3 linked regions of the Alligator mississippiensis genome follow. The protein of the gene in region 1 binds, or shares a complex with, the protein of each later gene. Links are inferred from orthologs where the notes say so. Each region holds a gene or a part of one and is shown on either strand. Other genes may lie near its edges.

The links.
Region 2: the proteins of BMP2 (region 1) and RGMB are in contact, whole or in part, in a crystal structure (PDB 4UI2), measured with the Homo sapiens proteins. The link is inferred for Alligator mississippiensis from reciprocal best matches to the Homo sapiens genes BMP2 and RGMB. Residues at the interface, in NP_001191.1 of Homo sapiens: Val308, Gly309, Trp310, Trp313, Met371, Tyr373, Leu374, Asp375, Glu376, Tyr385, Met388; in NP_001353437.1 of Homo sapiens: Lys97, Arg100, Gly101, Leu103, His106, Ser107, Leu110.
Region 3: the proteins of BMP2 (region 1) and HJV are in contact, whole or in part, in a crystal structure (PDB 4UI1), measured with the Homo sapiens proteins. The link is inferred for Alligator mississippiensis from reciprocal best matches to the Homo sapiens genes BMP2 and HJV. Residues at the interface, in NP_001191.1 of Homo sapiens: Phe331, Pro332, Ala334, Asp335, Leu337, Asn341, Ile344, Val345, Leu348, Ser351, Val352; in NP_001366281.1 of Homo sapiens: Leu40, Asn43, Tyr46, Val47, Tyr86, Leu101, Ala102, Ser105, Ala106, His108, Gly109, Ile110, Asp112, Leu113.

The regions. Positions count from the first base shown.
Region 1 is NC_081824.1:225,997,909-226,005,722, forward strand, and holds the start of BMP2 (bone morphogenetic protein 2), read right to left. Parts: upstream 4,262-7,814; 5' UTR 3,617-4,261; intron 3,195-3,616; 5' UTR 3,188-3,194; coding exon 2,869-3,187; intron 1-2,868. UniProt on the Homo sapiens protein: Growth factor of the TGF-beta superfamily that plays essential roles in many developmental processes, including cardiogenesis, neurogenesis, and osteogenesis. Induces cartilage and bone formation.
Region 2 is NC_081826.1:236,982,830-236,990,643, forward strand, and holds the start of RGMB (repulsive guidance molecule B), read right to left. Parts: upstream 4,671-7,814; 5' UTR 4,347-4,670; intron 2,973-4,346; 5' UTR 2,887-2,972; coding exon 2,882-2,886; intron 1-2,881. UniProt on the Homo sapiens protein: Member of the repulsive guidance molecule (RGM) family that contributes to the patterning of the developing nervous system. Acts as a bone morphogenetic protein (BMP) coreceptor that potentiates BMP signaling. Promotes neuronal adhesion.
Region 3 is NC_081838.1:17,968,250-17,976,063, reverse strand, and holds the start of HJV (hemojuvelin), read left to right. Parts: upstream 1-2,934; 5' UTR 2,935-3,174; intron 3,175-4,939; exon of another isoform or gene 4,940-5,208; intron 5,209-7,814. UniProt on the Homo sapiens protein: Acts as a bone morphogenetic protein (BMP) coreceptor. Through enhancement of BMP signaling regulates hepcidin (HAMP) expression and regulates iron homeostasis.

The sequences.
Region 1 (7,814 bases):
AGATAGCTTCTTAGCTTAAATTTAGTCCCATTCTCTTCCCCTGTTCCCCTCCTCTGTAATTATATTGGGGGGGGGGGGGGGGGGAGATGTGGCATGTGGCCTATTGTGTGGGGGCTATAAAATGTGTAGTACAAGTCTGAACTGCATAGCTATGCAAAGCTAAATTTAAAGTTTGAAGTGTAAAAAATAAACCTGTTCAAAAAAATTCAGTTTTTAAATTTTGGTGATAAATATGCTGGAAAACCATTCATCTTGCCATAAAAAGTCGTTACTAATATGAATATTCCTTAACTCAAGCAATTATTCCTTGCTTATTTTAATGGATTCCCTTCCCTAAATAAGGATTTTTCATAAGGGTATCAGGATTAGGTCCAAAATAGGTAAATAGATGGCTCATTTGTTGCCATCTTGCAAAAGTGATTTCACATGTTTTCATACAGTCAGTAATGCTTTCAGGCAGCCTGACCTAACCAATGGTTTACAAAGCAAGTGGCTAGTTTTATTATTATTATTTGTTGCAAAATGTAGAATCAAACTTTATTTTTTTGTTGTGAAATTTCTTCAAATGGCAGTAACATGCTAGTTGGCAAACTGTGCTATTGCTTTTCAACTTCTGTAGAGTTCCTTTTCTACCACGTTTAGTTTTATGTTCAGAAGTCTGGTAGCATGAATGAATCTTACACTGGATTTTCTCCATTTATTACCAAGAGTTTACTTTCCACATACAGAAGCACAAACCACAGTGCAAGGTTAAATTTCGCCATTAATCTCCTTCCTCATTATAAGGCTTTCCATTAGAGAGTATAACCACCGATTTCAGGCCACTTCCTTTGTATACCAACTTAATTAAATCCTAATAAAATTTCTTTCGTCACAGCTCCATGTTGTAACATGTGGAATCTGTGTTTTCATTAATTTTACAGTGAGCCTACAGCATACCACCACTGAAGACTAATAGCTAGAAGTTATTTACAAATTCTGGAATATTTCTTTGCGTTAAGAGCAAGAGTAACATGCAAACCACTCATTCTAGAGGTCTACCTGGGCTATCTGCCATGACACCAGTTTAGTTATTTCCTCCCCCTGCCTGAACCCCCCACTCCCAGAATCTAGTTAGTCCATGGACACACATATTTAATAAAACAATGAGTACCGAAAGGCAAATAAAAAAAAAAAAATGCACCTAAGAAAAGACAAATCTCCTCTGCATGTATTTAGTAAATTGGTAACAAAGTAAAATGGATACATTAGACCATTCATGGTGACTAGTTTGTCACAGAAGCGTAAGGCTGGAGTTATTATACTATCCTAATGCAGTTAAACCCTATTGAACTTTTAAAAGGTTTCAACAAGAAGAGAGGTGGATACAGCTCTCCACAAGATAGCAGCATTTGGGTGAGATTAGAAAACAGCTACTTGAGATTTTTAAAGCAGTAAGTGACTTTACACACACGTGTTTGTGTGTGTGTGTGTGTAGATTATCTAATTTCAAGACAAAAAAAGAGTTTGGGTGTATGCAGTTTCACACTTCTTTATAACATGCGCTCAGCATCTTACTTAAAATGACAGTATTGATCGGCTCAGGTGAACATGTGAGACAGGGGAGGGCTGTGACAAGGCTTTTATCAGACCAGTTTTGCCCCTTAGAGCTGCGTTAAATCTAGCCTTGTTTCAGAACTCAGGACAAGAAAGTCATTATGGAAACAATACAATCAATTGTGGAATTGATCTCTCACGGGGATTAGAAACCTTTCCTCAAGGACCCTCTTACAGATCAACTGTAAGTAAGCAAGGGAGACTTTCTGGTATTTAGCCTTATAAATAAAAAAAGAAAACTAATCTGTGGGAATTCTTAATTTGGGCCCAATCTGTTAGAAAATTAAAAAAAAAAAAATAAGAAAAATCGACAGGTCTCACATCAGATGAAAAAGGGAGGGAAAGTGGAGGGGGCAGGGGTAAGAAAAAGCAGGGGGAGGAGAAAAAAAAATAAAAAAAGATTTGAGCCCCAAGTGCATCAGAACATAAAATTCAGAGTCGTTTAATCAGGGCTTTTAAAAACACACACACACACACACACACACCTGACTACAAGCACTGCTGGGAAGTTCAACACAACCTATTTTATTAGCAGCCGAGCTTATTAACTCCTTGGAAAGACTTTGTCCCTGATACTCCTCCCCCCCCCCCCCTGTTTTTTAAGCCTCCAAAGCTGATCACATCCATACCAAAAAAAAGGGACCCCCCTACACACACATTCCCTCTCACACCCCTTAATCCCCCTATGCACACAACCAACAAACACTCCCTTTCACACCCCTGTCTACACATGCACACCCTACAGACCCTGAACACACTCCCTGACACCCCTACACACATGCTCTCTCTGACACCTATGTACACACTCTTCCTCACAGCCCCTACACACACACCCACACCCTCCTACCCAAACCCCTTACCCACACCCTAGACAGATCCTCAAATCCCCTACACACCCTGTACACACAAGCACTCCCTCACACCCACTACAGCCCCCCCCACACACACACTCCCTCACCTACAAACATGCATTAGTCTCCCTAGTCTTCCACACACACCCCATACACACATGCCCAAGCCCCTCTACACCCTACACACACACTGACACCCCTAACCACAAACATACACACCCTACAGCCCCCTACACACACTGTCCCTCTCACAATCCCTACATACACACACACCCTACTGTCTCCTCTACACACACACTCTCTCCCACAGCCCCCAAACCCCCCTACACTTTACAACTCCCAAACACCACCACCCCCCCCCACACACACACACACACGGAGCCCCCTGAAGCTGCCCCCGCGGCCGCTCCGCTCCGCTCACCGTCGTGGTGGAAGCTGCGCACCGTGTTGGCGCGGCTGGCGGCGCGCTCGAGCCGGGCGCCCAGCTGGTGGCCGGCGTGCAGGCGGTACAGCTCCCGCATGTAGGGCGGCACGACGGCGCCGCGGCTAGGGCTCGGCCGCCGCTTCAGCCCGAACATGTGCAGCAGGCGCAGCTCGAACTCGCTCAGCACGTCCTCCGACGGCTGCGGGGCCGCCCGGCCCGCCCGCCGCCGGCCCACCTCCGGCATCAGCCCGGCCGAGCCGCCCAGCGCCACCTGGCACAGCAGCAGCGCCAGCAGCGACCGGGTTGCGGCCACCATGGTCGCCCTGCAAGGCACACACGAGGGGGAAAGGGGGGTCAGCAGGGCGCGGCAGCAGGTGCCAGATCCCCCCCCGGGCCCGATCCCGCACCTAAGACCCCCCGCCCACCCCCTCTCCATCCCGCACCAAACATGCACCCGCCTCCCCGGGCCCGATCCCAATCCCAATCCCATCCTAAAGACCTCCCCCCCCCCACGCACCCACTTCCCCTGCCCCGATCCCACCCCCTCCATGCACCTTCCCCCCCAACCCCTCCCGGGCCCGATCCCGCACCAAAGTGCCCCCCCGGGGGCAGACACCCCCTGCCCACAGCAGCAGCAGCAGCAGCAGCGCTGGGGCTGATCCGAAGCGAGTCCGGATTGCGGGGGGCCGGCCGCGGCCGGAGCGCGCAGGGGCAGACGGGCCCCAGCAGGTGCGCCCAGCCCTACCTTTAGGAGCCCGCCGACGGCCTAGGCAGCTGCGGCGGCGGCGGCACTCGGGGGCATGTCCGCGAGCGGCACATGTGCGGCGCCCCGGGGTGGCCTCGCCGGGTCTGTGTGCGCGAGTCCTCCTAGGCGCGGAGCCAAGCCGGCGGGCTGCCCTCCGCCCGCGCCGCGCCGGGGCCGCTGGCCCGCGCTGCTCCTGCCGGGCGGCTCCTACGTCCTCCGCGGCAGCCCATGGCCGCGGCCGGCACTCATGCTGAGCGGGAGGCTGCGGCTGAGCCCCGCATCCCCGGCGCCTCCCGCCGCTGCAGCCGCTGCCCCCGGCCCGCCGGCGCAGCCCGCCTCGGAGACATGCCCGGCTCGCGGGGGACTGCTTCCCCGCCGGGGGCCGGCCAGGGGCAGGGCTGGGGTTTCCTCCTCTCGAAAGCCGCGATCAACAAGTGGCTGCTGCCGTGGCCGCCGCTTCCTCCTGCCGCGGGGGTGTGGCAGCCTGCGGGCAGATGCTCCTCCTGGCTGCCCGCGGCGCGGAGCCCGTCTCGTGCGCCGCCGCGGCCCCTCGCTGCGTGTGCCTGTGCGCCCGCCCCGGCCCGGCCCGGCTCCTGCTGCCCCTGCCTCTGCCAAGCGCCGGAGGTGCCTCCTTGGCTTTTTGTGGCGCTGCTGATGTCACGACCCCGGGGGCTTGCGGGCCCGCGCCAATCACAGGCGGCTGCGGGAGAGCCAGCGATTGCAGCACCGCCGCCGCCGCCTCCTCCTCCTGCCTCCCGCCCGCCCTCCTTCCCGCCCTCCCTGCCCCTGCGCTTCTGCTCCCCGCCGGCCGAGCTGGGCACCGGCCCGTTAGGCTGCGGCCGGGGAGCCTCTCTGGTGGCCGCGCTCCCCCGGGGCATGTGTGGGTGGAAGGGTGTTGCTGCCCCTGAGCTTGCAAAGCAGAGTTTTATTTTTTTCCCCAACGATTGGGTTGGGCTAATAAAAGAGATCGCGTTTACCCAGAGAACCGTGTCTACCGGGGGATGGATACCCCGGGAAGGGGTGGGCTCCAAACCAGGCACTAGCTTGGATCCTCACTGACAAGAATACCAGGGAGCATTTACCCCCCAAAATCTTGTCTACCCAGGGGATGTGGATACCCAGGGGGCTCCAAGCCGGGCACTACCAAGAATACCAGGGAGCATTTACCCCAAAAATCTTATCTGTCCAGGGAATATGGATACCCAGGGTGCTTTTGCTTGGATCCTCACTAGCTAAAATATCATGGAGCATTTACCCCCAAAATCTTGTCTACCCTGGGGATGTGGATGGGGGGAGTGTGCTACAAGCTGGGCACTACCTTGGATCCTCACTGGCAAGAAACCAGGAAGCATTTACCCCAAAAGTCTTATCTGCCCAGGGGATGTGGATACCCAGGGTACTCCATGCTGGGCACTACCAAGAATTCCATGGAGCATTTACCCCAGAAACTTGCCTACCCAGGGAATGTAGATTGGGGGGGGGGGGGGCACTAGCTTGAATCCTCCATGGTATTCTTGCTAAGTAGAGGGTCCAAGCTAGTGCCCTCCCAGTCCTTTCATTTCCATTTTTGTAGTCATCTAATATATTTTGCTGCGTTAGCAACACCCACAACCCTCTACAACCATATCTTGGTAGTTTCAACCTGGTCCCTGGAGGAGACAGGCTCCGAATCGGGGCTTGAACCTGACCTCTGGTGTTATCAACCCAGAGCTGATCCTTGCTGCGGCAAAGGTGGCGCTATGTGAGGGGTGGGGCAGGGCTAGCTTAAGGCATAGCAAGCTAGGCACATGCCTAAGGCCCTCAGTGAAGAAGGGGGGCCAGTTGTACTTATTTTACATATTCTAATTATTGAGTGAAACAAAAGGAATATAAATCTACAGGATTAAGTAGGGGCCTATGAATTTGCCTAGGGCCCACTAAAGGGTTAATCCACCCTTGAAGGGGGGATCCCTCAATGGTTAATGGGTGGGAGGGGCATTGCTCAATGGTCACTGCAGCCCCGGCTAGTCCCTAAAGGTGCAAAGTAGGATCTTCCGGCTGCGCCTTAGAAGCTGTCACCTCGGGGACACGTCCCAGAAGAGACTCATAGGGCAGAGGAGCCGGGGGCCCATCCTGCCCGGGGTTCCCAGGTTTAGCCGCAGGCATCTCTGTGGGAGCGGGGAGGACTGGGTTAGCCAGAACCTGAGCGCCTACAAGTGGCGAGGTAGAGGAAAGTCAGCTGAGAGCCAAGGTGAACAATGAGCCATTATAGCATCTGTCTGTCAGGGAAGAGCGAAATAAATGGAGGGGCAGGCGGGGCTTAAAACAAATTGGATTAAGCTTCGTGCAGTGGGATTTCAGTGTTTGCTGACTTTTAAGGTGTGAAGGTCAAATAATGTATTGGGAGAGTCAGAGTGTTAAAATAAGGTGGTAGTAGTAGTAGTAGCTGTGTGTGTGTGTGTGTGTGTGTGTGTGTGTGTGTTTTATATATGCATCTGTGTTTGTGTGTGGTTTACACATCTGCATGTATGTGTATTTGTGTGTATTTATAGTGTGTTTGTTTTTACATATATGCATGTGTGTGTTATGTGTGTATGTGCATGTTTATGTGTGTGAATGTGTGTGTTATGTGTGTATGTTATATATATAGGCATGGATGTATGTGTGGGTATGTGTGTTTATATACGTAAGTTATATATATATATGCATATGTGTGTGTGTTTATATACATGTGTATTTAGATGTGTTTATGTGTGTGTGTGTTTATATATGCATGTATGTATATATGGGTATAAGTATATATGTATGTGTATGTATGTATATGCATGCATATCTATATATATATGCATATATATGTATGTATATATACGTATATGTCCCAATGATGAGCTAGGGAAGAGGCGTCAGAGGCGGGCAAGAGAAAACAGTACTCAGCATGCCAGTGCAAGCTCAACTGATTTGTATGTGCAACTTGCTGGAGGTTCTGCTTGTTGCGCATCAGACTCAGCCACTCAGGAAGCTGTGGCAGTATCCAGTAACCCACCAAAGGCGCAATCTCCACAGTCTCTCAAGACCGATGGTTGCAAAAGATGATATGTGTGGATGTGTACGTATATATGTGTGTGTTTATATACATGTATATGTATGCATGTAATACGTGAGTATGTATGTGTGTCTATATGTATGTGTATCTGTATATATGTATATACGTATCTATACACACACATACATGTGAAAACCCAGGCATATGATATTTGGGAAGATGAGCACAAACCATGCCAAGAGAATGCTGCAAGAGGACAGATTCTCAGCCAGCCTATATGGGTTACCTACTGATCTGGTCCAATGACTTCGAGCGTTTAGAAACAGCAAGAGGGAGGCTGATTTCAGTGCCCGCTGTCTATAGCTAAAACCCCTGGCTCAACGTATACCTCCTCATGTCTCTAGCAAAGATCAGCTGGGATTTGAATTCTGCATGGGTTAACAGAAAGCTGGGTTTCTCTCCCTATTTTTTTTCCTTTTTCTACCTGTTGAATGGGAAGAGAATTCAGTGAAAAAACAAAACCGGCTACCACTGTGATACCAAGGAAAGCTGGCCTGAGTTCCCCTCCGCATATCAGAAAGGAGCAAGGCAGGTAGCCCCTGCATTGGTATGGAACAGATTTCATCCACCTCAAATATCATTCTGGAGTAGGTGTTCAGTATGCCTTTTTCTTTCAGTAGCCACAGCTCCAAAGATGCACCTCCAAAGGGGCACCTGGATGTTCATCTCTGTAGCAAAGACAGCCCTGTGGAATGCACCCATCTTTATAACCCAATGTTTTCTGTCCCCAGGAAACTGGGCCCCGAGGCCTGGCAGAAACATCAGGCTCAGGGTGAAAGAACCTTCCCCACTCCTCCTGATAGCTGGAGAGACAGGACAGGAGAGAAGAGGAATTCCCTCTGCCTAAAAGTTTGCCTCTCAGAACCTGCCAATCTCAAAAGTAGTAGTTGTTTTCTCCCTTTGTAGGAAACGTGTTCAGGTCCCCAAGAGGCTGCTTCAGAGAGCAGTATTTGAATGCATTTGGCTTTCTGGGGGCAGCCTGGGAAGTCTAGGCTTGCTGTGCTGATTCCTGTATGTTTTTTAGATCTGGCTGCCCTCCAGTGGTGGAAATGTGTCAGCACTCCTGCCTGGACCTGGGAATCCCTTTTCAAAAGCCTCTTCTCATTAGCCTTGCTT
Region 2 (7,814 bases), on another chromosome or scaffold:
GGATCTCGAAATGCCCCTCACCTTTGCAATGCAACCGCTCCAGCTTTACAGGGCTGCTGAATGCTTTGATACATTTAGGCATCTCAGACAAGGAGCCAGGAGGAGAGGGAATTGTTTGAGGCTGATAACAATGGACAATTTTATCAGGGAGTGTGAAGTGCCATGTAATAATCTCTATGAATGGCTTCAACACTTACATTCCACTTGCTCTTCCTCCTTCCCTAGCTAACATGGTTTATCTCTGGCCAGGCTAAATTATGCAACTTTTTTTCCTTTCTTCAAGCCCTGCGACCGCTCTGTTTGTGAGAGGTGACAAGACGGGGCAAAAGCCAGTTTTGTAGTCAGCACACTCAAGCCTCAAATAATAATAAGTGATGAATCCCCCAACACTGTCCCAGCCAATAGGTTTGGTATAATTAAAGGCTGACGTTTCCGATTATCTGTCCCATAGCGATCTGCTCCCCCCACCCCTTCCTTTTCCCTTCCTTTTCCTTTGTTTAAGTTGTTTTTAAATCCGCTTGGCCCCGGTGACACACACCAAACAAAAGGCATTAGGAAGGGGAGGGGGAATTCATTCAGCAGCATAGAAACAGCAGCAAAACCAGTTTAGGAACACAAGAGTCAGTCATTCCTTAAACTAATCCGTTTGCATGTTTTTCTACATTAAAAGCTCTCTTCACACCAATTGCCCTGCACCATAGCAACTTTTCAGTGTTGCTCCCAGGGCACTCCGATCAGGTGACTCCATACATTTCAAACGGATCTGCTCTTCCTCCCTCCTCGTCACCCCTACTGCAGTTGTGCCCATGACAAAGAGCTGAATCCCTGTGCCCCACCCCACAGTTCAAGCTTGCAGCTGTGTTTCCACAGTATCAACCTAGCAGGAGCACAGCTCACAGACAAGATCTATTGGATTCTCAAGCCTGCCGCTAACCTTGGAGCAAGCATGATTAGATCAGCTGCTACCCACAGTTCTGGTTTTGGTCACTTGCTTTGTAGGTTTCTCTTCTTCAAAACACCCGAAACAACTGACAGATGACAGACTGAAGAGCAATGGTTTCATGGCAGCGAGGGAGGTTTAGATTGGATATTAGGAAAAACTTTATCACTAGGAGGGTGATGAAGCACTGGAATAAATTACCTAGAGAGGAGGTAGAATCTCCATCCTTGGAGGTTTTTAAGGCCCGGCTTGACAAAGCCCTGGCTGGGATGATCTAGTTGGGGCTGGTGCTGCTTTGAGAAAGGGGGTGGACTAGATGACCTCCTCGGTCCCTTCCAAGCTTCCTGTTCTGATTCTATGAACTACACAAAGATATGTCAAGGGATACAGCTTTGACTCCCACCCTAACTTCTCCCACTTGCAACAAAGAAGAAAAAGGTCGCAGGGTTCACAACAAAGTGCACAGACTGCACTTCCCCCTTTAAAAATGTAATGGCTGTTTCTGAATTTTTTGAAAGTTATTTCTGGGATTAAAATCAGATCTGAGACCCATATTCAAGCAAAACTCTCAGTAAAGGCAACGGGAGTTTTTGCCTGTTCTGGTTTTGTTCCAACTCCTTTCAACTGTGGTCCTGCTGTTTGTTCTGTGCTCGGTTCCTTGACAATAGAGGGCGCTCTTGAGATATTCCAAATATTTGGGTCAAACACTGGAATTGTGCTGGTAAAAAGGAGAACATGCATTTCATCCAGGGTGCTTTATTGTACTATTGTTAAATTTGACAAGTTCGAGATTTGGCTGCCTAACATCTGCATTGGTGTGTGTGTCCAAATGCACAGCCTGCAGCAAATGTGACATTTCCCTACAACTGCCCTGCCAGATAACTCTCATTTTGAAAGCTCAGGGCCACTAAATTAGCTGAGACAGTAACATGGGAAGATTAAAGTTCAGTATTTCAGAATAGGGAAAGATCTGACTGTGTTGATAGCCACGCACACTTGCTATTGTTATAAGCTCACATCTGAACCCACTCCTGAACTTTCACTTTCTAGCCCTTTTAAAGACCAGGAAAACAGGTGAAAGTTCAGGAATGAGTTCAGATGTGAGCTTATAACAATAGCAAGTGCATGTGGCTATCAACACATTGTTGTGACTTGAAGATGTCAAACAAACCACAGCTCTGATTTTTAGGTCTCTTTATCTCTTGCTTTCCCCCCCAGCTACAGCCAAGAAGCAAAAGAAGCAAGCATCATACGGCTCTGAGACCCAGCTTTTTTAAAAAGTGAAATTATATCAAAGAAAATGATAGAAAATGAATGTTGGGAGGAACCTCAGGGGGTCATATAGTCCAACTTCCAGCTCAAAGCAGGACCATCTCCAACTAAATCATCCCAGCCAGGGCTTTGTCAAGCTGGGCCCTAAAAACCTCCAAGGGTAGAGATTCTACCACCTCTCTAGGTAATGTGTTCTAGTGCTTCATCACCCTCCTAGTGAGAAAGTTTTTCCTAATATTCAACTCAAACCTCCCTTGCTGCCACTTGAGACCATTTCTCCTTGTTCTGTCATCTGTCACCACTGAGTTTAGCTCCAGCAAACATGTAACTGCGTAAAATGAAGTGAACATGTAACTGGGTAAAAGTCAAACACCTGCCAAAGCATTCATGGATTTGAAACAAGCTGTGGTTTGTTTTCCAGAAGGAATGTGCGATGCCTTAACTGTTCCCCTGCTGATACAATCTCCGTTTCCAGACATCCAACATGAATCTCCTCTTGGTCTGCTTATGACATTGGTGTGAGCGAAGGAAGGCTAGTGGGGAATCCAAGCTGGGCTTTCACTTTGCAAAACACATCATTCTATTTCCCACTATTATTTGGCAACGAAGGCAGCAAGTATCAGCAATAACTATTTAATAAACGGACATCTCTGATATTTTCGTACTTACATCATGTTTAACCCTATGGTGTGGAGCGGAGCTGTGGAGTCAGAGCTGCATCCTATTCTCCTAGACGATGGGACCCTTTGCAAATTAGGACCTGTACAGCAGATAATTGAGAACATGTACATCACAAGCTGTCCTGCGGAGGGCAGAGGAAAGGGGTCATTACTCCAACCTATAAAGGAGATTGACATGAGCCTGGGTTTTGCAGCTACTGACTAAGCCTGAAAATAGCAGGTGCAAAAAGCATTTGGAAGTCGCTTGCCAGAGCCCGGGAGGTAATGCGCTTCCTGCCCATTTATCTCAGGAAACCAGCATGATCTTCCCCCCGAAACAAAGTTAACCTCTCATTAGCCAGAAACTCCTGAGAAAGCTTTAAAAGCTTTGCAGTCTAGCTAATGTGTTTAAGATACTCCCCCCTCCACCTTCTCAGGCACTGCCATGGCAATTACTTGCCATCAGTTCCACATCGGGCTGGCTAAGGCAGGCTGAGTTTGCATTTATCTGCTGTGAGGCTGACAAGCCCAGAGCCTGTCAATGCAGAAAGGAAGCGTGGCAGCCAACTTCTTGCCTCTTTAGAGCTCCTCGAGAGCTTCCTGACATGAAGCTCAGCATTCCCATCTCAGGCATCACACACACACAGAAACACACACAGCACACACAGAAAGAGCACACACCCCACACAGAGCATACAGCAAAATTGGGATCTGCCCCCTCTGCCTTGTGACCTTTCCTCCATTCAATGCCCAGACCTGAATCCAGCAATGACCTTTCAGTGCTCTTTTTTTCTCAGCTAAAAAAGCTCCATAGAACAACATTGCAATGTGTGTATATTGCAATGTGTGTGTGTTTGTCTATGCAGATACACATCCCAAGGATCCCATTAGAGTGTGTGTGTATATTGCAATGTGTGTATATCTATCTAACTAGCTGGATACACATTGCAAAGATCCTGTGTAGTGTGTGTGTATTGCAATGTGTATCTATGCAGATACACACTGCAAGGAACCCGTGTCTTGTGTGTGTGTGCATGTGTGTGTATTACAATGTGTGTCTCTCTACACACTGCAACACACACACACACACACACACACACACACACACACAAGATCCTTGAACCGCTCCAGGCTGACATCAGTCGCAAACAATCCGGAGTAAGAGGTGTTTATTTTCTCAGATGGAATCTGCAATGTGCAAACATGTAAGTGGTTACAGATGTCCGTCTGGACCTATTTTCCCCTTCTTCTTCCCCCCCACCCCCCTTTCTCTTTTTACTCCTGCTGGTTCCCCGGAGAACCAAGCGCTTGTTTAGAGACAGGTGGATCGAAGGAGGAAACAACAACAACAACAACAACAACAAACATCCTGATTTTTGTTTTTAAAGAACCCCAAGGCAGGCAAACAAACAAGGGAGCAAAAATCCACCCCCCTGCCGCAAACCTCAAGTCCGGCAAGGAAAGAAGCAACTCACCGCAGCCGGCCCCTGGGCTCCATCCCCGCCGGCTGCCACATCCCGGCGCGGGCGGGCGCGGGGCGATCAGCAGTGGCGCGGGCGGGCGCTGTCCGCCGGGAAGGGGGCACTCATCGGGACAGCTCGGCCGGCCGCCGCCTGCATCTGGATCCACCTCGCAGGGGCTGTTTATCTGCCTCCCCCTTCCCGGCGCTGGCACAAAGCGAGGGGGATGTGCCTTTAATGACAGCGTGATCTTTCCGCCACCTATAGAAGACAAATGAGGGCTGGTGGAGGGGGGGGGGAGCAGGGAGCACAGTAATTCCCTCCTCGGGGCTGGGAAGATGCTCTCCATCCCCCGCTCCCCTGCCGCCCCCAAGGAGGGAGGTTGGAGCAGCGCGCTGGCCCCACCTCCTCCGGCTGCAGCCCCCTGGCGGAGCTGGCAGCGCATGCTGCAACCGCTGGAATGTACCTGCACATCTGGAGCAGCCGCTGGGCACGCTCCCCTTCGAGGCTCGCACAAAGGGGCCCTTTAGTGGGCCGGGGAACACTGGCTCGGGGCGGGCAGCCTCTCTTTTACAACCCCCCTCGCACTTGTTCAGCAATTTGTTACACTATCAAAGCCTCGCACCCGCCAACAACCCCCTTATTTATTTGGTTATTAGCCGACCTTGTATATACACCAGCTTTCCCAGGTCTCCCCAGATGTTTGGCTGCCAGCAGACAATCAGTTTCCCTTCCTTCTCCTGATTGAGTCCTAGCAGTTACATGTTTGTTTGGTTGGGTTTTTTTTTTTTTTTGGGGGGGGGGGGTTGAGGGGGAGGAGGTCTTTTTTTGGTACAGAATTTCTTCCCCAGCTTGCAAAGGCTTGGACACATTCATGGGAGGGTGGGGGGAACTTGGTTTTGTGACCATTAGGTAAGGTTGGTTTAGGTTTACAGTATAATCTCTCTGGTGCATCTGGACAGGCCCTCTAGGACCCAATACCTATTCAGGAGATATTATTGTTATTATTATTATTTTGTAATGTCACAGCCCAGATTGGAAGACGGATGTGGCTTTGTGCAAGCCGGGAGACGATACATTGGGAAAATGGTCTTTGTGGACATGTCCAGATAAGCATGGATGTTTGTTTCCCCAGGGAGAAGCAACAACAGCACACCTTGTATGGCTGCTACTTATCCCTGGGGAATGCCTGTGTTATGCATGCTCTGGCATGTGGCAAGTTACCTTGGGTGGGGTAGGGGAAGCTGGGGCCAGCACAATGCTGGCCCCAGCAGCCCTATCTGGGGCCCTGTGAGCCTCCCTGGGCTGCAGCTATGGCAGGAAACCTGGCCAACAGCTAGTGTGGCTCTGGCCAGCCAGGCTCTGTTTTTGGATGGTGCGTGCTACCACCGTGTGTGCCACCCCGCTTTTTTGGGGGGGTGGGGTTTTTGACCCTTGGATCTCCCTGGGCCAAACCCTCCTCCCCCCAGTGCTGCAAGGCAGCAGCATGGGGAATGCCTGCATGTACAGTATGTGGTGTCGCAGATGGGTTTGTGACACCACACAGCCACACTTGTCTGGGTGCAGCTTATATGTCCTGCTTTTATAATCTAGTACAATCCCCTGCTCAGAGCAGGATCAGACCCTAACTTCATTTTCCTCTGTTAATTGCTAGATCCTCCTTTTTTCCAGCCCAACAATTGAAAGTCTGATTTAGAGCCCCTGAGAATTCTTTATTTTCCTGGATTTTAGTGAGTTTTGCATTAGGTATTGAAACAGCAAGGTGGCCAGAGCAGCCAACCTCAGCCCTGCCCTCCTTCAAATGAACTCCTGCCAGATAATTGCACTCATTGTGTCTCACTTTGCTAATCATCCTGGCCTTGGTTCTCAGAACTCTTTGGAGCATCTCTGGATCTGCTGGCTCAAGAGAAACACAATAGGAGCATGCTCTTCTCGTTAAAGAACATTTCAAACAGCTCTGTTCCTAGCCCACAGGAATATGGGGTTTTAATTTACCCACTTGCTTCATCATTTGAAACTCCACAGCTGCAATCAGCAAAGCAGTAGTAGCTTTGATTAAAAATCCTAAAGGCAAGTCTCGTGTGTTTTTCTTCCTCCCTGTTCCACAAGCACAAAGAAGATCGGGTGCATAAAATAATGATGAGGGAGAGTTCAAAGCAATTCCAGAAAGCTGGCCTGAGAGGATGTTTTCTAATGCAGTTCCAGCCATTTACCATTCTTTCTCTTTGTTGAGCTTGCGCCAACACAACAGAGATAATCTAGCAAGCCATGGTTCTTTTCTTCTCTCCAGAAACATTAGTCAATATGTTTTAGAAGTCAGCTAGTCAGGTCTACCACAAATATAGTAATTAAATAAATGCCTTTAATCTGGTCTATAATAGACTTCTTTAACTTATTATCGGCACAAGAGGCCTTACTAAGGCAACTGCTCTTCTCATGATTTTTGTAGGATTTTTAGCACTTCTGAGACCTAGAAGAATCCTTTTCTTAGGTTCTGGTGAACCAGAAAAAAAAGAGGAGAGTGTAAGAAATAGGCATCTCTTTTGCTCCTGCATCATTTGCCAAATTTAAAGGCACAGAAGAGTATAAGCATCACAATACCATTTACCCTACAGATAAACAGGCATCTGAAACATTCTGGAGTTGTACCATGATCTTTGCTAATAGAAGCTTAAAGTATTAGAAGCTTAAAGTATGCTCTTCACACAGTGATCCAATATTGACATACTTAATGTGTTACATCTATAGCTATATTACCACTTCTATCTGGAAATTTGGAAGTACTTCCAAACACCAACTGATATCCTTGAGGTTATTATTCTTAATGAGAAAGGAAGTAGACCTTTATATCCTTACGAGACAGGTATTCACATACACATTTTATCTTTATTTAAAAAAAAAACCCTGCAGCATCAACCCTGTCACAAACACCAGGGATCATTTTTGATGCCATACATGTTAATTATACTAAAGCAATGAAATTAACATGCAATCTGCATTAACATCCACATTCAGTAGGCATTCCCAGGTGACTTAGTAAACTATCCATTTTACAGATAGATATAATGAAGGAAGAATAACTTCTGCACAAGTACAAAGAAAATCAGAAGTTTCTGAAAAGTTTTCTGATTAGAACTGGTCTAAAAGGACTTGCATCAATAGTCACAGAAATTAAGGTGCATCAATATAGTCACTGCAATGCCAATTTCCTTAATAATGACAGAATTTCAGATACCATGGTAAAAAGCAACATATAAACACCTAGCTGATATGTATGGCTGAATAGAATCAGCATTCATTTATTTGGCCAAGGAAATAATTTTTTCTAATGCAATTTGACTTCTAGCACCTCATTTAGAACAGAAGAGACTTGATATTTCATTAAAGATACCTTATTCATAAAGTGTTTTCCTTTTTTCCCCTGTCAGGTTTCCAAGGATTTTATGCAGAAAAAATGGCTTAATAGCTTTTCTTTGCCACATA
Region 3 (7,814 bases), on another chromosome or scaffold:
CATAGGACCCTGAGCTGAAAGCAAATGCCCTGTCTTCCAGTGCCCCTGCAAGGTCAGGCACGGCCCCATCACCCCTCAGCATCACGGCTCTGCACATGTGCCCACGATCCATCATCGTAACCTGCTGCCGAAACCGAGACCTCACAAGCAACCCTGTTGCATAATGGGCGATGACATCGCGGGCTTTGCCATTCTGATATTAATGGATCCTCCGTGCATTTTCATGCTAATTGCCATGTCTCCAGCATGCCGGCCACTCCCGCCCCCTCGTCCCCTGGCGGTCCCCAAGTTCCAATCCTTTTTCCCTTTTTCTCTGGGTAATTATCAACAGTTCCTTATCTCTAATTGCAGCCCAATGGTTTTGTCTTAATTCACAGAGGACAAATGGGGAGGGTCGGAGCTGAAGACAGCTTTTCTGTGCGAAAGGTCTGGGAATAAGACCTGCCAATCAATCACGACTTGAAACCCCTCTCCGATGCTCCTGCTTCTGGATGAAAGAGCGGCTGGTGGGGAGGGAAGGGGGGGCTGTGGGTTCTGGGGAAAGCCAGGTGGCCCCGGCAAACTTCTGCATCAGGGACGGGATGGGGATGGGGTTGCTTTGCTGTTGACTGGGTGTATTTTCCTTGGTTGCTTTCTTTAGAGTGGGAAAATCTGAGGCTAGCTTGCTCAGACCAGACCCCATGGTGCCAGGTGCTGTATATGAGAAGGGGCAGTCTCTGCCTGTGGGTGCTTAGAAGGGCAAAGACAGACTAAGTCAGGGAGGGGAAACTGAGGCAGGACGAGGCAGAAATGCAGAGCTCTGTTCTGGACAAAGGGAGAACAGCCTCCTGGAGCATAGTCAGCCTCCGGTAAAGTAACTGCCTCCAGCCTGGCCCAGAGGTTTGGCTTTTAGGCACAGCTACCCAGTAGCCGGGGGTTCCTGCAGGATTTGAGCCTGAATCTTATGTGCTGGAGATGCTTTGGGGGGCACCAGGGCCCTTTGCCTCTCCCCACAACTTCTTCTCACAACGTGGAGACACCAGGCATCCCATCCCCTGCCTGCTGAGGTGCAGCTGGTCCAAGCAGTGCCCCCTGGGACCGTGTCTGACCTAGGGGTCCGGGTGCTGGGGGGTCTTGCCAAGCTCGTGGCTCCACTTTTTGAGTGCTGCTGCCACCTCGTGGGGGTGCGCACGCATGGCACGTGGCTACTGGCTTCCCCAACCCAAGTGGCAGACTCCTGGCTTCTCCAGATGGAAGGTCCCAGCGGGTCCCCCATGCACCCAGGTCCCATTGAGGGGCAGGTTGCCCCACATCCACCCTGGTGATAGTCCAGCCTGTGGAGGGATGGAGCCTTCCCTATTTCCAGCCAAGCTGCCTGCCGGGATGGGGGGAGAAAGCAGGGAGGAAAATTCCCAGCGAAGGCCTCAGCGTGGGAAGGGAGATGGATCCAGCTGTGGCTGAGCCAGGGAGTGTGAAGAGCCCCCAAATTGTCCCCCCTGCAACAGGAGTCCAGGGGTGTGGCTTTCCAACCATTCCCAACAGCTGGGCCCAGTGCAGGGCACGGCCCTTTTGTGTGCTTGGCATGTTGTAAAAAGCCACAGGAAGGGGGGCATTTTATGCCCCCTTTGCATGAGTGCGATGGTGCCCTCTGGACAGGCCCCAGAGCACCAGGCATTCCCAGCCCCGGGGGTCAGGCTGCTCCGAACAGAGGGGCTGGATGATTTCCAGGCCTGCCAAGACCCCGCTTTAGCTTGGGGGCCAGTCCCCTCATGGTGTAACTCAGTGCAGTCACAGGGTGCAACCCTGCTTTCCAGCTGCACGGCAGCTCCCAGCTCTCCCACCGGGGGGGTGCATGACAGCTCAGGCTGTTTGGCTCCCCTACAACTGCTTCAGGCTTTATTTAGCCAGATCCACTCCCTTGACTTGCATTTCCCCCCGCCCCTGCCTCCCACCCTGGGTTATGTTTTAAACACATGGAACAACCCAGCCCAAGCACAGGGACAGTTGCTCACCCCGGAGCAGGTGCTTCTGTCTATTGATTTATCTGTACTCTGGCCTTTCGGGAGCTTTTCTGTGAAAATCTGCCCCCCACCCTCACGTAGGAGTGGGTTACGGGTGGGGGGCAATGGGACAGCTGGATTAACAGCTTCCTGCGTCTGCTGTCCCCAGGGATGCAGCCCAGAGGATTTCAGCTCTCCCCACATCTGGAGTGGAAATGCAAAGAGGAGTCTGGGTCTCTCATGTCTACACTCCTAACACCCTCTTTTCCACTCGAGATGGGCCCCTGGGCTGGGAGGATTGAAGGAAGGAGGAGGAGGCAGTGAGACGCAGAGGTGTCCTGATGTTCTCCAGAACTTCCCGTTGCAGAGCTGGGACGGGGAGTCCGTGGCTTCCCTGAACCACTGAAGCCATCCCCTGAAGCCCCTGCAGCTTCTGATGTAGAAGAGAAAGCACCCCAGCTTCTCCAAGGGGGTTTGTGCACTCTAGGAGGTGCCCAGAGCTGCCCTCCACGTCCACCCAGGTGGACCCTCCAAGAAGCAGGACAAGACACAGGCCTCTGGGCACGAGACCCATTGTGGCAACATATATCTTGATCCTTCCTGTGCCAAAACCAGCGCTGGGAGTTGTTGAAACCTGGATTCTGCCCAAGCCCTTCCCGGCTTGGCTGCTTTTCGTAGATCCACTGAGTTGGTTTAAAGACCGATCATCTTCTCGGCTGCAGAAACTCAGCTCCGGGGCGTGGGGAGCCCCAAATCCATCGCCCTAAGAAGAGAGCAAGGAGAGGTCCAGTGCAGTCAGGCGTGAGCAGGGCTGTCAGATCCTGACGAGGTCTCACCAGCATCACCTGGGGGGTCTCTAAGTTTTCAGACAAGAAAGCGGGTGTAAACCAGAACGTCCTCGGCCCTCTGGAGTCTCCAGCCTCCCCCCCTGGAATCCTGCTTTAGGGATCAAAAATACTGCTGGCTATTTTTAAAGTGGTAACTTAGAGCTTCTGTTGGGCTCCCAGGGACGGATCAGGTTGTCGTAAAGTTCAGCTGTTTTCGGCTCGCACCATAGCCAGTCCCCCGGCGTTAGCAGACTCGGTTCCCTTTTTTTTTTCTCTCCTGTCTCCTTCCACCAATGCTTCTAGCTGGCAGGTGAGACCGGGAAGTCGGGACCAGAGCAGCACAAATGGCAGGGCTGAGGTTCACCAAGGTAAGCATGAGCTCTGGCTCCTTTGGGTTTTCTCTTCAGAGGGCGAGCAGTTGAGGTTTGCTATGCCAGCACTCCTCCAGCCTTTGCTAGTGCATCACAGTCTGGAGCTGCCACTGCAGTTCCCCTTGCTGCTGTTCCACCCGGCTCTGGGGGCTTTGCCTCTGTCCTTGTACTGCATCAATCCTGGCTTCCCCATTAATCCTGACTATCCCAGTCCTAGCACCCTGCATGGCTCAGCCCATGGACTTCCATCCCCATGTCCGCTGCTCTGGACCTCGTCCTCTCTTGAGCATCTTCTTGCAGGATGGTGAAGGGTTTCCTAGGGGAACCAGCAAGGCAGGCCGAGCCTGTCTGCACAAAGATTTAAATCAGATCACTTTAGTTGAATTAGGGCTGGTGGAATTGCCGGGGAGGCTGGACAAACTGCCTGGGAGGGTGCGGACAGGGATTTATAGATGCATAGATGCTAGGGTCGGAAGGGACCTCAATAGATCATCGAGTCCGACCCCCTGCATAGGCAGGAAAGAGTGCTGGGTTTAGATGACCCCAGCTGATGATCCTGTCTTGGGTGGGGGGTCAGATGAGATGGACCTTGAAGCCCTACCTGTCCATGCATAGTGTTGCACCGAACCAACTAAGCAGCTATAAAGCTGCACCTTTGGTAAAACCTGGACCATGCTCTGTGTGGTCCAGGCCTGGCTGAACGCACTGCATCATCCCCCAGGCACAACCTAGGGCTGAGATTCATGTGCCAGTGCCTCAGAGGTGTCCTCATAGGATGAATCATCACTAAACCAGAACCCTGGCATCTCATCTGCTTTTGGAGAGTCACTGTTACCCCATCCATGTCATGGCTCTGGCAGGAGAGGATTAATCAGCCGGGCTTTAATTAGAGCAGAACTCCTCCACTTGGGGTTTGGTACTAGACTGGCATAGAGAAGGGAAGGGGGTATATCTGTTTGGGATCCAACCAAACCTCCAGGACCGTCTGGATCTTTTTCTCCCTGTTCCCCATCACCTCTTTTTTAAGGTCTCCCTCTGCCCTACTGGCCCGCGGCAGGGATGACACAGCAGTGCCAGAGCCGTGGCATTTCTAGGCAGGGCCAGGAAGCAGAGATGATCCCAGGTCCTTTGAACCCAGGCTCCGAATGGATCCGGAGGGGCTGGAGGTTGTGCCAGCACAGCTGTCTTCTCTGCTTCCTCCTCCTCCTTCCAAACTGCAGCTCTGCCGTGTCCTGCCAACTCCAGCCTGCAAAATTCCCAGCCTCTGTGCGCTGAACGCATGCATCCCACCTAACGCCTGGTTACATCTGCTGCAAGTCCCCTTGTTAAGGCTCCAGACGGCCTTGTGGGCCTGGCAGCACATTCCTGATTATGGGAGCTGGCAAATTCGCTCCGTGACCTGCGTGATGGCTCTGCGTGACCCATGTGATGGCTGGGGGGGACCTGCTGCAGAAGAGCAGTGGTTAAGAGGTTAAAGTCAGGGGTTCCCATAAGGGGGTCTGTTTGAAAGGTCTGAATAGTTCCCTATCCAAACCCCTTTGTGGGGCCCGGATGGGACCTTCTGCTCTTCTGGGAAGAATGTTCAGCTGCCCCCACTTCTGCCCTCCCTGTAACACATTCCCACGTGGGGCATCCATGCCCTGGCACAGCTGGCAGCTGGTTTCCAACAGATGGTGCTCATCCCCTGCAGTCCAAGTCCAAGCCCTGGCCGGGGTGGAGCCTCATGGGAAAAACCAACCCCGAGGCCATGACACGATGCCCTCGGGACTCAGGAGAGGGGCAGATAGAGCGGGGAGGAGTGGGGAGCCTGATGGGAGCTGCAAAGAAGGCTCTTGCAGTTCACAAGGAGGGGTCAGGTCTTGATTCCACCCAAAAAAGCAGGAGCTGCAATTTTATTGAGTTTATGGTATCTGAGCCCCTTTTGGGTGAATTATGGTATCCAGGGACTGAGTAACAGTTGCTCCTGGGTGGAGGAATTAAAGCTATGTGGTCTCTCCCTCCACCTGCTTCTCTTTCCCTTGGAAGGCTCAGGTAAGGCATGAGGGGCTGGGTGGATGGATTTATGGAAGGAAAGAAAGAAGGCAGGGAGGATGGATGGATGGATGGATGGAGGGATGGATGGATGGATGGAAGGAAGGGGCTTAGTGCCAGGGATGCAGACCTTTCTCTGCATTTAGCAGTGGGAAAGTAACTCTTCTCTCCAAAGCTGATAGGAAAAGACACTCTGCCAGCAGCAGTTTGCTGCTTCTCTGAGGCCAAGCCAGACTCCAGCAATTTGAGGCATGCTCTTTGCAAAGCAAACCCCACTGCATGCTTTTGGCAGAGCTGCTTATCTCTTTCACAGGTGGACTTGTTAATTAATCCGTCTTGCTTGGGTTTAACGAGGGGGCCTGCAATCTGTCTCCTCTCCAAACAGGCTGGTTTTCAGGCAGGACTGGAGATTTGCATTGTCTGCAAAGGCAGGGGAACAGATAGGAGCTGGTGTTTTAGTCTTTTATGTTATTACTTGTGAAAAATCATGAGATCTGCTTAGAATTTATGGATTTTTTTTTTAATCAAACCTTTTCCAAGAGGCTTCTTTGCATTCTGGTTTGGGATTTTTTGAGGGGTCTCGTTTTCAGCTGTGTTTTCTAGACAGCTTTGGAAACCTGGTTTATGGAAGCTGAGATTTTCCTGCCGTCACCTTCTTGAGGACAGGAGCTGGACTTGATAACCCACCTCTGGGCTGGTGTGCGATCAGTTAGCAAGAGTTGCCAACACTGTTGAACCACTTTGAATGCTACAAGAGGAGGTTTTGGGGTATTTGGGGTTGCATTGTTTTATCTGTGAAAAGCCGCCCTTCTTAGAGTCAGAATGTGACCATAGAGGTAAAAACTATCCAGGGGGAGGGTTGCATCTTCTTCTTGGCCGAGGGAACTGCTGGAGGTCCCTTCTAGCCTTGCTTCTCAATGCTTCTCAAACATTAAGTACCAGCTACAATCCACAAGAGTGGATCTGATGGGCTAAAGATCTGATTTGGGGATGTACTATTAAAACCTTGCCACCCACTTGGAGAGCAAAAATGGTTTCAAAGCAGTGGGTAAAGTCCAGAGTTCGAGCCCTGGTACAATGTCAGGCACGAAACATAACCATTTCTCCAGGGCTTGGTTGCATCTTGTTGCCCTGTGCTTGGGAGAAAGCTGCATTGGGAACAACCTCTCCACCTCTTCTCTCTGCTCGGAGTCGGGGTTGATCACAGTCTGAGGGGTTCGTACTGCTGCTTGTCATTTTGGTGTCTAAGTACCTTTCATGGGAGATAGATTGGCAATGGCAAATTCTCTTCTGCGCTTAATGCAAGCTCTGGCTGTCCTCCCTTAAGGGAGACGGACCTTTATTAACAAGATGAGTCATTAATTGCAAGTGTTCACTTTGGAGCCCAGCAGGCTCTTGGCAACATCTAAAGCCTCTATGCTAAACTGCCTTTGGATTAGACCAGTGGTTTTTAATGTTTTTAGACTCAAGGCCACTCTTGTTAGACCCAAAAGCCCCCCTCAGAAAATGCCAGTTCTTAGTTTTCACTTCTTTTTTGACTACAGAAAAATATTTAATCAACTCTTCTGTTGCGAAGAACTCAGGAAGACCATAACCGCTCAGGATGCTTGAACACCATGAATCCCTGGTTGCAATCTCTGGGTTTGTCTTGTGAATCAGGTTTGCGCACCCAACTGCGCTAATGTAATGTGGTGTCCCATAGCACCCTTGAAAGGATCGATCCCAAGGCACCTTGTTGAGAATCGCTAGCTTAGACCCCTAAAATACCCCCGCCAGCCCCAGCAAAGTGCCGTCCATCATCATGCAGCTTGCTCTCTTTGTGACAGAGGCATGAAAATGTCCCAGCTAAAAGCAGGACTACATCGTGGCAGGTGCTGCACAACTGCACCCATCAAAGGAGAAGCCCTTTTCCCTTTAGCACTTGCAGGCCTGATGGACCAGAGGGGATGGGGTCAGGGGGAAAGGGACTTGCCCACGGTCACACAGCAAGACAATGGCAAGTCCCCTGGTCCCCATCCAGTGCTGTATCCACTAGACCTCGATGACCAAGTTATAGGGTCCTTCCCCACGATGCACTGCCATGTAAATCCCCAGGAAAGTAGCTTAGAGGCTTGACCACAGGGACTCGAGAGACCTGGGTTCTAGCCCTAGCTCTGTCTCTACTCTGCTGGGTGACTTCACCTTCTCCGTGCCTCAGTTTCTCCATCTATAAAATGAGGATAATGAACCTGACTTTGGCTATGTAGCACTGCTGCCTTGTGAACCAGTCTGGAGCAGGGTGAGGAGTGTGTCTCTGTTCCTTGGTTAATCGTTTTGTGGTAAGTGGGGGAAGCAGCAGTTTGTTGGGGAGGGGGCAGCGTGGAACGTGGCAGTTTGCCACCAGAAGCAGCCGTGGCCACTTGGTGGACCTTGACCTGGACCTGCCTGACCAGCAGCACCCCCTGGCAAGTCTCTGCAGTGCCTGGTAGCTCTGCACAGCCGTAGTTCAGAGCAAGCTCTCCTGTCTGCTGCCTGGAGTTAGCTACTATTTCTGGGGCTCCTCTTTCCGCACCATGTGCTTGTTTTTCTTGGCTGGGTTTTCCTCGGTCTAAATTTAGTCAGATCTA